3 linked regions of the Sus scrofa genome follow. The protein of the gene in region 1 interacts with the protein of each later gene in a biochemical or structural test. Links are inferred from orthologs where the notes say so. Each region holds a gene or a part of one and is shown in the gene's direction. Other genes may lie near its edges.

Evidence for each region.
Region 2: the proteins of DNM1 (region 1) and SH3GL2 form a complex in vitro, tested with the Homo sapiens proteins (2 studies listed by BioGRID and IntAct, with this or other methods). The link is inferred for Sus scrofa from reciprocal best matches to the Homo sapiens genes DNM1 and SH3GL2.
Region 3: the proteins of DNM1 (region 1) and SH3GL1 form a complex in vitro, tested with the Homo sapiens proteins (2 studies listed by BioGRID and IntAct, with this or other methods). The link is inferred for Sus scrofa from reciprocal best matches to the Homo sapiens genes DNM1 and SH3GL1.

Annotation. Positions count from the first base shown.
Region 1 is NC_010443.5:268,693,868-268,698,587, forward strand, and holds part of DNM1 (dynamin-1), read left to right. Parts: intron 1-527; coding exon 528-639; intron 640-1,347; coding exon 1,348-1,359; intron 1,360-1,723; coding exon 1,724-1,894; intron 1,895-3,038; coding exon 3,039-3,280; intron 3,281-3,638; coding exon 3,639-3,853; intron 3,854-4,720. UniProt on the Homo sapiens protein: Catalyzes the hydrolysis of GTP and utilizes this energy to mediate vesicle scission and participates in many forms of endocytosis, such as clathrin-mediated endocytosis or synaptic vesicle endocytosis as well as rapid endocytosis (RE).
Region 2 is NC_010443.5:205,083,008-205,087,043, reverse strand, and holds part of SH3GL2 (endophilin-A1), read left to right. Parts: intron 1-1,539; coding exon 1,540-1,670; intron 1,671-4,036. UniProt on the Homo sapiens protein: Implicated in synaptic vesicle endocytosis. May recruit other proteins to membranes with high curvature. Required for BDNF-dependent dendrite outgrowth.
Region 3 is NC_010444.4:74,441,274-74,445,993, forward strand, and holds the end of SH3GL1 (endophilin-A2), read left to right. Parts: intron 1-44; coding exon 45-188; intron 189-601; coding exon 602-735; intron 736-877; coding exon 878-1,036; intron 1,037-1,349; coding exon 1,350-1,453; intron 1,454-2,090; coding exon 2,091-2,215; intron 2,216-2,372; coding exon 2,373-2,435; intron 2,436-2,793; coding exon 2,794-2,990; 3' UTR 2,991-4,177; downstream 4,178-4,720. UniProt on the Homo sapiens protein: Implicated in endocytosis. May recruit other proteins to membranes with high curvature.

The DNA of each region.
Region 1 (4,720 bases):
GTTCTTTTTTGTCTTTTGTCTTTTTAGGGCCGCACCTGCAGCATATGGAGGTTCCCAGGCTAGGGGTCGAATGGGAGCTCCAGCTGCTGGCCATAGCCACAGCCACAGCAACTTGGGATCCAAGCCGCATCTGTGACCTCCACCACAGCTCAAGGCAACGCCAGATCCTTAACCCACTGAGCAAGGCCAGGGATCGACCCCATGTCCTCATGGATACTAGTTGGGTTCGTTAACCACTGAGCCACAATGGGAACTCCTCAGACCCTTTCTAATAGAGTATTTTACCACTCCTTCTGCTGAAGCCTCACAAGAAGCCTAGGAGGCAGGAATTGTCGTTACTAACCCATCTTCCAGATGAGAAAACTGAGGCTTAGAGAGAGGAAGGGACTTGCCCAGTGTCACCCAGCTGGGAAATGAGAAAATCAGGACTGGCCCCCAGGGCATCATGACCCCAGTCCACGCATGCCCTTAACCACCAGGGTGAGTGGCCTTTGCCCTGTCTCTCCTCCCCACCCGCCCCATTGCAGGAATGTCTACAAGGATTATCGGCAGCTGGAACTGGCCTGTGAGACACAGGAGGAAGTGGATAGCTGGAAGGCCTCCTTCCTGAGGGCTGGCGTGTACCCCGAGCGTGTTGGGGTGAGTGACAGGGGAGAGGGGGCACGCTGCTTAACATGGGGTCCCTGGGGTCCATCCTCAGGGATGCCAATCATGCCATATTCTTGAGCTGTTCTTGGGCTCAGAAATAGCTGGGGGAGTTCCTGTTGTGGCTCAGCGGATTAAGAACCTGACCCAGTGTCCGCGAGGATACTGGTTCCATCCCTGGCCTCGCTCAGTGGGTTGAGGAGCCTTGCTGCAAGCTTCAGTGTAGGTCGCAGATGCAGCTCAGATCTGGCATGGCTGTGGCTGGGGTGTAGGCCGGCAGCTGCAGCTCCAATTCGACCACTAGCCTGGGAACTTCCATAGGCTGCAGGTGTGGGCCTAAAAAAAAAGGAAAGAAAAAGAAAGAGGGATTCTCCCCCTACCTGCCCTGGGGTGGGATTGGAGTTAAGCCTTCCTTCCTCCCATCCTTCTCCAGCGCAGTTTACATACGCTTCCTCTGCCTCAGATGGCATTTTGCATCCTTTTTGTATGATGGTAGTTTCCTGCGACTGCCTTCACTTTTCTCCCCACTATCACGGGACAAGGTCTAGCGTTGCCCTTGGGCTGGGGAGCAGGGCCCTGGGTTCACTCCACCTCTCCTTGTTTTTCCTCTCTGCGTCTGCTTCGACTGTGCTCGATGGTGGTGGCGGCGGTGGGGACAATGCTGGTGTGGTGACCTCCATGGCTTTGGTGTGGGCCTCCCAGGACAAAGAGAAAGTGAGTGTGCCCGTCCCTCACCTTCTGCCAGGCATCTCCAGCCTAGAGCCAAATCTGGCCAGATCTTTCGACTTAGGAAGGGACCTTGGAGATGTCCTTGCCTGGTTTATGGACTGGGAAGAAGGCAAATTCTAGGCGCTAGAGTCACTGCCAAGATAAGGCTGATCGAGAGTCTGGGGTCCTGAGAGACTCTGGGGTGGGCAGAGCCCAGAGCTATGGGGGAGCTGGCATCTTTGTATACAGGCCAGTTGCTTCTCCTGTGCTTCAGTGTTCCAGGCTCCCTTAAAGGAGCTGGGACCCCGGGATGCCTGGAACCTGGCCTGGAGGGTCCAGACACCCTAATGCCCTCTGTTCTCAATGGCAGGCCAGTGAGACGGAGGAGAATGGCTCGGACAGCTTCATGCACTCCATGGACCCCCAGCTGGAGCGGCAGGTGGAGACCATCCGGAACCTCGTGGACTCGTACATGGCCATTGTCAACAAGACCGTCCGGGACCTCATGCCTAAGACCATCATGCACCTCATGATCAACAATGTGAGTGCATCACCACGCACGCGGGGGAAGGGGCCCTTTGGGGGACCGAGGAAGCAGGTGGCCAGGTTGGCCTGGGTGGGACAGAGTTTGGGGAGGGAGGCGCAGGTCCACACCAGAGCTGTCGAGTAGAAATATAACGTGAGCTTCGTATATTACTTTGTAGATTCACATACCCAAACGTGCTTCACTGTTTTCCAGAAGGGGCTAGGAATCTGCATCTTTTAAGAGCTCCCACACCATGTGTTGAAATACACACCCCCACAGAATCACTTCCACCTGTGGCTTAGTGAAAATACACGGCCGGAGGGAAATGAGAACCCTGTTGGAATCCTGGCTTTGCCGCAAGTTCGCTGGGTGACTTTAAGTAAACCACCTACCCTCTCTGAGCCTCTGTTTTCTTATACGTAAAATATGGATAATAGAAGAGTTGAGGATTCAATGAGTTCCCTGATGGCCTAACAGTTACAGATCTGGCGTTGTCACTGCTGTGGTGCCAGTTCGATCCCTGGCCCAGGAACTTCTGCGTACCAGAGCAAGGCCAAAAAAAGGAAAGTGCATGACAACACACCACCTGGCATGTAGGAGGTGCTCGGCATGTCATTAAATAACGAATAAATGAAACAGGCCTATGGTATTAAAAAAAACCCCAGGATCTCTCCATAAATGTTCCAGAGCCAGGGGCAGGTAACATCTGGAGATTTTAAGAACATTAACCCACCCCCTACATGCAGAAGCTTGCATTGCACCCAGTTCAGGCACACATTGACACCTGTTATTCAAGGGCTCAGGAGATTTTAAACTGTCCTCTTCCTTACTGAGGTCCAGTGGAGCATACAAGTCCTTGGAAACGGTGTAACTGCCTTCTTTTACACTGAGGAAACTGAGGCCGAAACAAGCTGTGTGGCCCGTTGTCCTGGTTGCATGATAGGCCCTGAGTTTCCGCTCAGATCTATGACCTTAAACAGTTCACTCTTCTTCTCTGGACCATCTGAGAAAAAGAGCAAGGGAAGCGAGGGAGATCTCTTGAGTTTAGGCAGTGGCTGAGCCCCATTCCCGAGCTCCAAGTCCTAGTCGGGGCCGGCGGGGCGGGCAAATTGGTACAGGCCTCAAATCCAAACCCTCTCCTCTCTTTGCCTGCCCTCAGACCAAGGAATTCATCTTCTCGGAGCTTCTGGCCAACCTCTACTCGTGCGGGGACCAGAACACACTGATGGAGGAGTCCGCCGAGCAGGCGCAGCGGCGAGACGAGATGCTGCGCATGTACCACGCACTGAAGGAGGCGCTTAGCATCATCGGCGACATCAACACGACCACTGTCAGCACGCCCATGCCCCCGCCCGTGGACGACTCCTGGCTGCAGGTGCAAAGCATACCGGCCGGACGCAGGTACCAGGGCCGGCCCCCACGGCCCCAAAGCCCCCCAGCCCGGGGCCCGCGGGAGGAGGGCCGGGACCGGGCAGTGGCGCGCCCGCGTCACCGGGGCGGCTCCCACCTGGAGCGAGGGGCGGAGCTTAGAGAGGGGCGGGGCTTTTGCGGGGCGGGGCTTGCCGTGGAGCGCTGGCTGCGGGGCGGGGTGGAGCGTCTGGGGCCGGGCTTTAACTCGGCCGAAAACCCTAGGGCGCATCGGGGCGGGGCTTGTGCGCATGGGCGTGGCCGGCACCGGGCTGGGGGCGGGCCCTCTGGGTGGGCAGAGAGGCTCAATCTCTCTCTCCCCTCCTTGTCCTTTGCTCCCCGTCGCCCGCAGGTCACCCACGTCCAGCCCCACGCCGCAGCGCCGAGCCCCCGCCGTGCCCCAGCCCGGCCCGGGTCGCGGGGCCCTGCTCCTGGGCCTCCGCCTGCTGGGTCCGCCCTCGGGGGGGCACCCCCCGTGCCCTCCAGGCCGGGGGCTTCCCCTGACCCCTTCGGTCCTCCCCCCCAGGTGCCCTCGCGCCCCAACCGCGCCCCGCCCGGGGTCCCCAGGTGAGTAGGGCTGAAAGCGGCGGCAAAGACCGCCGGGCGGGCGTGGCCGGGAGGGAGGTGGGGCCGGATTCTGGAGCTCCGGCGCTGGTCGCCAGACCTGGCCCTCTCCATCCAAGTCACTCGGACTGTGGGTGCCAGAGCCACGAGGAAGTGTGGCAGAGGGCTGGCGGAGCCTGCTCCCCAGGGAGTGCTGAGTCCCGCAGGTGGTCGTTTCTGGGGAGGGGGCCGTGGGGCTCCTCCCACCTGCCCCCGTCTCTCCAGCACTTGCATGGCGCTTCCATCCTTTTTCACTGTCTCCCACACATTGCATCCCTTCCCCTTTCCCTTCCTAGCTGCTCTCCGCCGTTCTCCATTCCATCTATCCTATTCTGTCCTCTACTTCTCTCTCCCAGCCCCCAGTGAGCCCTCAGGTCTGAGGATCTGACTGCCATCCTCTCCGGATTTATAGACTTACACTCAGGGCTACCCGGATGCCCCCACTTCCCAGTCCTGACTCTTTGGACCTGTGCCAGGGGGATGTCTGGCCTCTGGCCCACAGGAACAGAGGCCAGGCTGTGACTGTGTGACCAGTACGGTGTGTGATGTGTGTGTGGGCGTGCACATGGGTGTGAGAGTGTACGAATGGCACCCAGACATGGGATAGGACATGGAACAGCTAGGGCAAGGGTCCGGGAGCCACGGGGCAGCCAGATGGCTTTCTCCCTTCCCCCTGCCCCTGGCCTGGACCAACGTGGTGCGGGGGCGGGGGGAGGCAGGAGCCGATGAAGGCTGCCCCATTCCCAGAGATTTTCCAGAGAAAAGGATTCTACGTCATCCCTTGGCCTTGCCTTCTTGATTCATGAGCCTCTTTCAAGGAAGCCCACTCTG
Region 2 (4,036 bases), about 64 Mb from region 1:
GAGCAACTTCCTGACCTGTTTCTATCTGGCCAGCCTCCTCTTCTTGGTATCTTCCTTGACTAGTGCTTTGATTGTGCACCTCCCCACAGTGCACACTTGTGGAAATATGTGTGTGACATGCCAAAGCCTCTAAAAAGGCTTCAAACCATGCCCTTCAAAGTACTAAAGAAATTTTATATGTCTTTGTGACAGTTGTTAAGCATGGAGGCCACTTTTCTTGTTTTCCCCTAAAATGTTTAGAGTCACTGTTACTCTTCAATCACCATACCCTAAACTCTCCCCACCCTTGCAGATCTGCCCTACACTTTGCTTAATGACCACCTAAAAGGGTGGGAAGTACTCAGGGGTGAGCAGAATACTTTGCCTGCCTGTACCTTTCCACCTTTCTTCCTTCTTCCTTGGCTTCTTTCCTTTCCCTCTGTGCTGTTCTCAGAACACACAGTATTTCCTCCTCTCCTCCCCCCACACCTTCTCAAGCTCTGCATGGAATAACTTTCTTCTGGAAACAACTGTTTATCTAGAAATGACTTCTGATGATCTTTCACCTCTGTCCTTAAGCCTTCTCCAGCCTCCCCTGGGACAGGTAGCTCCTCCCCATCTCACTGCCAGCTCCATCCCTGTGTTCCTGCAGCATTTGGTACAAATCTCCATGGCAGCACTTATTACAATTCACGGTAATCAGTTGTTTGTGTTCTGTCTCCACTCCAGACCATAAGCTGTTTGAGGGTAAGAATTGTGTCTTACTCACCTTTTGTGTTCCTGGTGCCTAGCGCAGTGCAGACTTGCAGAGTGAGCTCGGAATTAATGAGGGAGAACCTGAGAGGAAGGATGAAAGCAATGAGGGTATAACTGCAGAGAGCGTGACCCCAGCGCCCAAGTGGAGACAGACACAGATAAGAAAACTGAGGGTCCTTTTCAGATTTCACCTGCTCCACAGTGGTAGATTGGTAGCTAGTCAAAGCATTTTCTCGATTTAATTGCTTTTCTTTTTGCTTCTTAATTGACTACACATCCCACCTCCCACCTCCTACCTTTTCTTTTTCTTTCTTTCTTTCTTTCTTTCTTTCTTTCTTTCTTTCTTTCTTTCTTTCTTTCTTTCTTTCTTTCTTTCTTTCTTCCTTTCTTTCTTCCTTCCTTCCTTCCTTCCTTCCTTCCTTCCTTCCTTTCTTCCTTTCTTCCTTTCTTCCTTTCTTTCTTCCTTTCTTTCTTCCTTTCTTTCTTCCTTTCTTTCTTCCTTTCTTTCTTCCTTTCTTTCTTTCTTTCTTTCTCTGTCTGTCTGTCTGTCTGTCTTTGTAAAGGCCACACCTGCAGCATATGGAGGTTTGCAGGTTAGGGGTTGAATCAAACTACAGCTGCCAGCCACAGTCACAGACACAGCCACGCCAGATCTGAGACATGTGCTTGACCTACAGCACAGCTCACAGCAACGCCGGATCCTTAACCCACTAAGTAGGGCTAGGGATTGACCCTTCATCCTCATGTCAGATTCGTTTCCAACAAGCCACGACAGGAACTCCCCATCTTTTCTCTTTAATGCAGAATAAGACAAGCTTCATCTCAGCCTCGAAGGGAGTATCAGCCCAAACCTCGAATGAGCCTGGAGTTTCCAACTGGGGACAGCACTCAGCCCAATGGGGGCCTCTCCCACACAGGCACCCCCAAACCTGCAGGTAAGTATCGGATCCCTGGTACATGGCCTTGGCCACGCCCCATGAACACTCTTCCAGAAATTCTAGGAGCAATCCCATCTGGCTACATAAGAATTATGCAGGAATATATTTCTTACAGGATGGTTTTGTCAGGTAGAAACTCTCTTAAAGGAGTTCCTTCTTGTCTCATTCATTCTCTTTCCCTCCTTTACTCTCTCTCTCCTCTGTAAAGCCTTCATTGTACGTCCCTTTTACCCTCAGTCTCCATCGGCGCACACTTACCTGCTTTAACACATTTGATACTGACCCTCTTTTGTGGTCTTTAAATCACTGTAATATGTCAGTTGAGTTGTAGGGATGTCATCTTCTTTCCTGTCTGTCCCTTTCTGTGATTCCAGCATGCGTGGGGGTGAGTGCCCCAAGGCAGTGCATGCCCTTGTACACTCACACATACCCCACAGATGGCAGCTCCAGAAACCTGCTGCGTTGGGTTTCTTGAGGCCCACGAACATGAGGGTGAATATATTTGCAGATGAATATATTTTGAATCCCACTATCTGCTGGATTTTCTTCCCCTCCCCACCCTCCACCAGTTCATTGTGCTATGGTAACAGGTAGGTGCATTAAAAGCTGAAAATTATTTTCTTTCAGAGATGTAGATGTATAACTGATTGTATTATTCTTTTACTTGGTCCCACTGCTTTCTACCCCCTGCATACAGAACAGATAAAAGCCTGTGCTTGAGGTATATTCATCCTTAAGAATCTGCTTGGTCGAAGAGTGGGAACTGCCTTATCCTGGATATGGATGTTAAGGATGGGAAGCTCTCTCCTGTTTCCCTGTATCCCCAGTGCTGGATGTTCTACAGAAGGAAATGTTTTATGAGATGCTCTCAGGAGACCATGAAGGCAAAAAGGGAGGGTGTGATGACCATTGGCTCTGCTCCTCGGGCTTACCTCTGCTGCTCAGAGCCCTCGTGTGGGGCTTTTGCTGGTTATAAGGACTAGGCACATAATGTAACCTGGCTTCTCCCTGCTCAGAAAGCAAACACATATCTCATTTTTCTTTTGGAGACTTGTTAATTTGCTTTCTCTAAGTTAAAAAAAATCATTATCAGAGTTTCCGTCGTGGCTCAGTGGTTAATGAATCCGACTAGGAACCAGGAGGTTGCGGGTTCGGTCCCTGGCCTTGCTCAGTGGGTTAAAGGATCCGGCGTTGCCGTGAGTTGTGGTGTAGGTCGCAGATGCGGCTCGGATCCTGTGTTGCTGTGGCTCTGGTGTAGGCCGGTGGCTATGGCTCTGATTCGACCCCTAGCCTGGGAACCTCCATATGCCATGGGAACAGCCCTAGAAAAGACAAAAAGACCAAAAAAAAAAAAAAAAAATCATTGTCCCCCTTCAGAGCCATCCAGGTGGCATGGAGCTGTTTCCACTTGCCTGAGTTTATACGCATGTGTGTATGCCTGCTATGGTAATACTTTTGCTCATTTAACAGTTTTCTCTCTCTCTCTCTCTTTTTTTTTTTTTTTTTGTCTCTTTTTTAGGGCCACACCCATGGCATCTGGAGGTTCCCAGGCTAGGGGTTGAATTGGAGCTGTAGCTGCCAGCCTACGCTACAGCCACAGCAATGCAGGATCTGAGCTGCGTCCGAGACCTACGCCACAGCTCATGGCAATGCTGGATCTTTAACTCACTGAGTGAGGCCAGGGATCAAACCCACGTCCTCATGAAAACTAGTTGGATTTGATAACTCTGAGCCACAATGGGAACTCCAACACAGTTCTCTTTTAAGATAGGATTCCATCCTTCATTATTTAATTCAATGTAGAATCTATTATTTTTTATATTCCATAGCTCTGATACATACCTCTTATTTATATAGGTAATGTGATGTGGAGGTGGAAATTGTATCATTTTTTATGTAATCCCATTTAATAGCCACGGTAGTACTGTGAAGTAAGTTCTTTTAGTTCCAATTTTAGAAAAACTGAGAGTGAAGTGCCATGTGCAAGGGTCACGGAGAGTAGCATCTCGAACCCAGTGTTTTATATTGTCTTGTTTTCATCACATTACTGTGGCTCTCCAGAGGCTGGGGATCTTTATTTTTTAAAAGTAAGAAATGCACCATTATTCTGAAGTCCCAAAGCCCTGTCTGTATACTTTACTGTTTCACACGTGCAGAGATTTTAAAGAGGTTAGCATGAAAAGAATTCTGTCCATGCTCCATTATGAATCTAAAGTCCATGAAGACTCCTTAAGTCATTGGGACTCCTATTGCTGAGCACTGTAGGATGGTCAGCCTTGTTGAAATGTGTTGTACCTACCTATCATGAGAATAGATGTGGCCATGTTTTCATACTGGAAATAGAAACAGGAATTCAACAACTT
Region 3 (4,720 bases), on another chromosome or scaffold:
CTCAAGAGACCACCTGCACACCCACCCGGTCCGTCCTCTTCCAGCCTCTCGGGCCAAGCTGACGATGCTCAACACGGTGTCCAAGATCCGTGGGCAGGTGAAGAACCCCGGCTACCCGCAGTCAGAAGGCCTGCTGGGCGAGTGCATGATCCGCCACGGGAAGGAGCTGGGTGGCGAGTCCAACTTCGGTGAGGCCGAGGGAAGGCTGGAGTGGGGAGGGCCTGAGAACATGGGGCAACAGCATCTCTGCGCAGCGGGCAGGCTGGCCCTTCCCCCATAGCTCCAAGGTCTTCTCCAGGGCTGGCTAGTCCTCTGGACGAGGGCGGTGAAGCTCCTGAGAAAGCCCCTCTGGTCCACAACAGGTGCTGCCTACAGTATCATGGCTGTGGGGAGGCCACCCTCCCACCACAGCTGGGTCAGGGCAGACCTGGGTGCCTTTGAAGAGGTGGGAAGGTAGCTTGTGAACACCCATCATCACCAGCCCCTGTGGCTCTGTGTCAGATTTCAGGGTCCCTTGTTCTCAATTCTGGCGTCCAGGTCCTTGGCATGGGGTATCTCAACCCTAGGGGCCAAGGCCTCCTGTGACAGCTTCCTCCCCCAGGTGATGCCCTGCTGGACGCCGGGGAGTCCATGAAGCGCCTGGCTGAGGTGAAGGACTCCCTGGACATAGAGGTCAAGCAGAACTTCATCGATCCCCTCCAGAACCTGTGTGACAAGGACCTGAAGGAGATCCAGGTGTGCCAGGCCCGCCTTCACTTCCACCCCCAGACAGCCCAGCCTGGGCCAGGTTTCCAGTGGGAAGGGCTGAGGGGAATCAGGCAGCCCTCCCTCCCCGAGGTCCCAGACCAGCAGTGTGACCTGCGTCCCTGACCCCTAGCACCACCTGAAGAAGCTGGAAGGCCGCCGCCTGGACTTTGATTACAAGAAGAAGCGGCAGGGCAAGATCCCCGACGAGGAGCTGCGTCAGGCCATGGAGAAGTTTGAGGAGTCCAAGGAGGTGGCTGAGACCAGCATGCACAACCTCCTGGAGACCGATGTACGTACTGGGCTGAAAGCCCCTAGAACAAGGAGCCCAGTGGTGGCGCTAGCTTCCCCCAGCTGGTGGGCAGGCTCAGCGCCTATTTAGGGCATGAAGGAAGAGGGAACAGGAAGGTAGGGACCAGCCTACTGAGGCTTTGGGGTCTCCTCAGGCCCTTTACCCTCCTTTGGCTGTATTTCAAGGGTTAGGTGGACAGGACGGGGCCAGGCTTCTGTGTCTGGAACAGTCTGGGAAGGCTCCCTGCAGGAGGCAGCCTAGAGATGGGGGTCAGAAAGAGGGCAGCTCTTCAGTCCTGGCTGGTCCCTTGCAGATCGAGCAGGTGAGCCAGCTTTCCGCCCTGGTGGACGCCCAGCTGGACTACCACCGGCAGGCCGTGCAGATCCTGGACGAGCTGGCGGACAAGCTCAAGCGAAGGTGAGCCAGTTCCCTGCTCCTGGCCTTCCCTGTGGGAGCCCCCACCCGCTCTGCTGCCCAGGAGGCCCAGTGCCCACGCCAGCCCTTCTGGAAGATGTGCCCGCTTCTGGACAGCTAAGCCTGCTGTGAGCACATTCCTTCCAGAGCAGCGGGGTTGCCTCCTTTTCAGAAAGGATCCCCAAGCTGCATGAGTAGGTGGGGGGGGGGGGGCTCAGGGGGAAGCAGGACCTCCTCTCACTTATCCTGGTCCCAGAGGAGAGGCTTGGGGAGGTCCGCTGAGGGGAGGGTTTGTCCAGGCTGGTGTCCCCTGACCCTGGCCCCTTCCTTTCCTTCCCTGTCTCCTAGAGGGGCACTTGGGCTCCTCTCTGAGGGGGATCTTGCAGTCAGGCAGTGTCGAGGACCTGAGGTGGAAGCCCTTGTGGGTAGTAGTCCCTGGCGGTAGGGGGGTGTCTGTGGGCATCAGCTTCCCAGGCACCACTGCTGAGGAGGCTTCTGGGTTCAGTAGGACCCAGCTGGTCCCAGCATTCCGCCGTGCACAGTGCTTGCCCTCACAACCTCCCATGGGCATAAACAGCTGGGAGCGCTGTTAGGACGCAGCCCTACAGCTGCAGCTGCTCACTTGCTCCCTTCCATGCAGGATGCGAGAAGCCTCTTCACGCCCCAAGCGGGAGTATAAGCCCAAGCCCCGGGAGCCCTTGGACCTGGGAGAGCCTGAGCAGTCCAATGGGGGCTTCCCCTGTGCCACGGCCCCCAAGATCACAGGTAACCAGCAGGAGGGTGCGCTCTGTCCCAGGCCCATCCAGGGCAGCCCGAGCCCACCATCCATCCAACCATGGGCTGGTTCTCTCGAGAGGGCCCTGGGATGGGCCCCAGGCCCCAGCCCTGCATTCTCATCCCGCCTCTGTGCTTTGTCTGCAAGCAGCTTCGTCATCCTTCCGGTCTTCCGACAAGCCCACCCGGACCCCCAGCAGCAGGAGCATGCGTGAGTATCTTCCCGCAGGTGCTGGCCCTGCCCTGTGTTTATGATGTGGCCTGCTAGTATGTTCCAGAAGGATCTTTCTCCTCCTCCCTGTCTCTTGTAGAAGTGGAGCTGGGCCTCCCTCTGCTCTGAGTGGCACCCTGTGCCCTTGTGGTCACTGTCATCCTGATGCTACCAGGTGACCCCAGCTCCTCCTGGGAGCGTTCTGATGACCACTCACAGAGCCCTTTTCCTTCCTCTGCTCCTCTGACAGTTCTGGGAGCCAGAGAGGAGGGAGCAGTGGCCTGGGCAGGAAGGGAGGCGGTGTCACGCTGCACACCTGCAGGGGCAGGTGACAAGCCAGACCTTCCCCCGCCCCCAGCACCCCTGGACCAGCCAAGCTGCAAGGCCCTGTACGACTTTGAGCCTGAGAATGACGGGGAGCTGGGCTTCCACGAGGGCGACATCATCACCCTGACCAACCAGATCGACGAGAACTGGTACGAGGGCATGCTCCATGGCCAGTCTGGCTTCTTCCCGCTCAGCTACGTGGAGGTGCTGGTGCCACTGCCCCAGTGACAGCGTCTCGGTGACACACTGGCCCACCTGCCCCTCCGTCCAGATCTCTGCATTCCACAGGCCCGTGGCGAGGGCAGAGCTCGCAGCCTGCAGGGTGGCCTCCTCCCCACCTGGACCAGGGGCATGGGGCCCCTGTTTACACTAGCGATAACCCCCGGTGGGGGCTCCCTTCCCCACTCCACGTGGCCATCTTGGGGGCTGGGCAGTGTTCCTCTTCCTGCTGCTCGCTGACTGCCCCCCAGCCCCGCCCAAGGGGGCTCACACTAAGGTGCTCTTAGAAACACTAACTCCTCCTGCCCCCTCCAGGGACTGGTAACGCCAGGTGGGCCCCCTTCACATACTCGCACCCACACTGTCCTCTCGCCACCCTGTGTTCCTCCATCTGGAGACCTGCCCTCAACAGGATGGAACTGAACATCTGTATGATGGCTGGTCTGGGCGGGACCCCTGGCTGAGACTCACCACCCTGCTTTTAAATTGCCCCAGGAAACTCCTCCCAGGGCCCCTGAACACCTACAGATGCCACCTACCTGGGAAGGCCTCACCCTTTCCCTCCAGGCCAGGCGCTTGGGGAGAGACGAGCCTGGGGTCCTCAGGGGCCTTCTCGGCAGCACTCAGGTGGCCATGTCTCCCTCCTGCAGGCTGCTGAGTCCCACACCCCACACTGGGCCAAGCACAACCTACCACCACCAGCACGTGCTCACACTCACACTCACACACACACACACACACACACACGGGACCACGGGAGCCCAGCCTCCACTCTGGAAGGTCAAGCACAAAGGCTTTGATAAGTGAATGTCCCCAGGACCCCTGGGGCCCTATGGGGGAGTCACGGGCATCTCTTGGTCCTGAGCCAATCACCATACCCCTTTGGACAGTGGTCCAGGCTATCTCCTCCAGACCAAGGTAGGCAGTTGCCCGGACCAGCAGGGCCCCAGCCCTGCACCCACTTCCTCTCTTGCCTAGTCCAAAAGCTGGCTAAACAGGGGACCCCGGGGCCTGATTCACATTCCCCTCCTCTGGTGACCTGGTAAAGCCCTCAAGGACACCAGGCTCTCCCTGCTCACCCCCGAGGCCCCCTGGTTGCCAGTACATGGAGGAGGCACAGACATCACGGCCTAGGGCAGACTGAAATGTAATCCTGATTTTTTTAAAAAAAGAAGTATTAAACGTCTCTTTCTACAGCCTTTTGTCTGGTTGCAGGGCAGGGTGGGCCCTCCTGAGGGGTCTCCAGCCAGAGCAGGGCCCACATGGGCACCAGCCCACAGTGAGCCCAAGAGGGATGTCCTTCGCTTGCCCAGTCACTGGCACTGGCAGTATGTGCCTGAAAGGCCCCTCCCCACAGCCACGGCTGCACAAATGGCGTCCCCGCCTGCACCTGGGAGACACAAGCTTGGGCTGTTTCTCTCCTTTATTATCTGAGCTCTTGTGGTCACACAACTCAGTCACACAGGAACAGAGCAGCACAGCCGCAGACAAAGGCCCTGAACCCATTCCCCTCACCCAGAGCTGCCGGGGACCAAGAATGACCAAAGGTCACCCAGGTCCTTGGAAGCTGGTGCCCTCAGCTCCCCTGCTTGAGGATGCTGTAAACCTGCTCCAGCACGTGGCACAGGCCCTGGTCCTTGGACGTCCTGCTGGCCAGGGACATCTGAAACAAGCAGGCCTGGCCTCAGGGCTGCAGCCCGGCAGAGGGGCTGTCCTAACCTAGGCACCTGCTTAAAGAC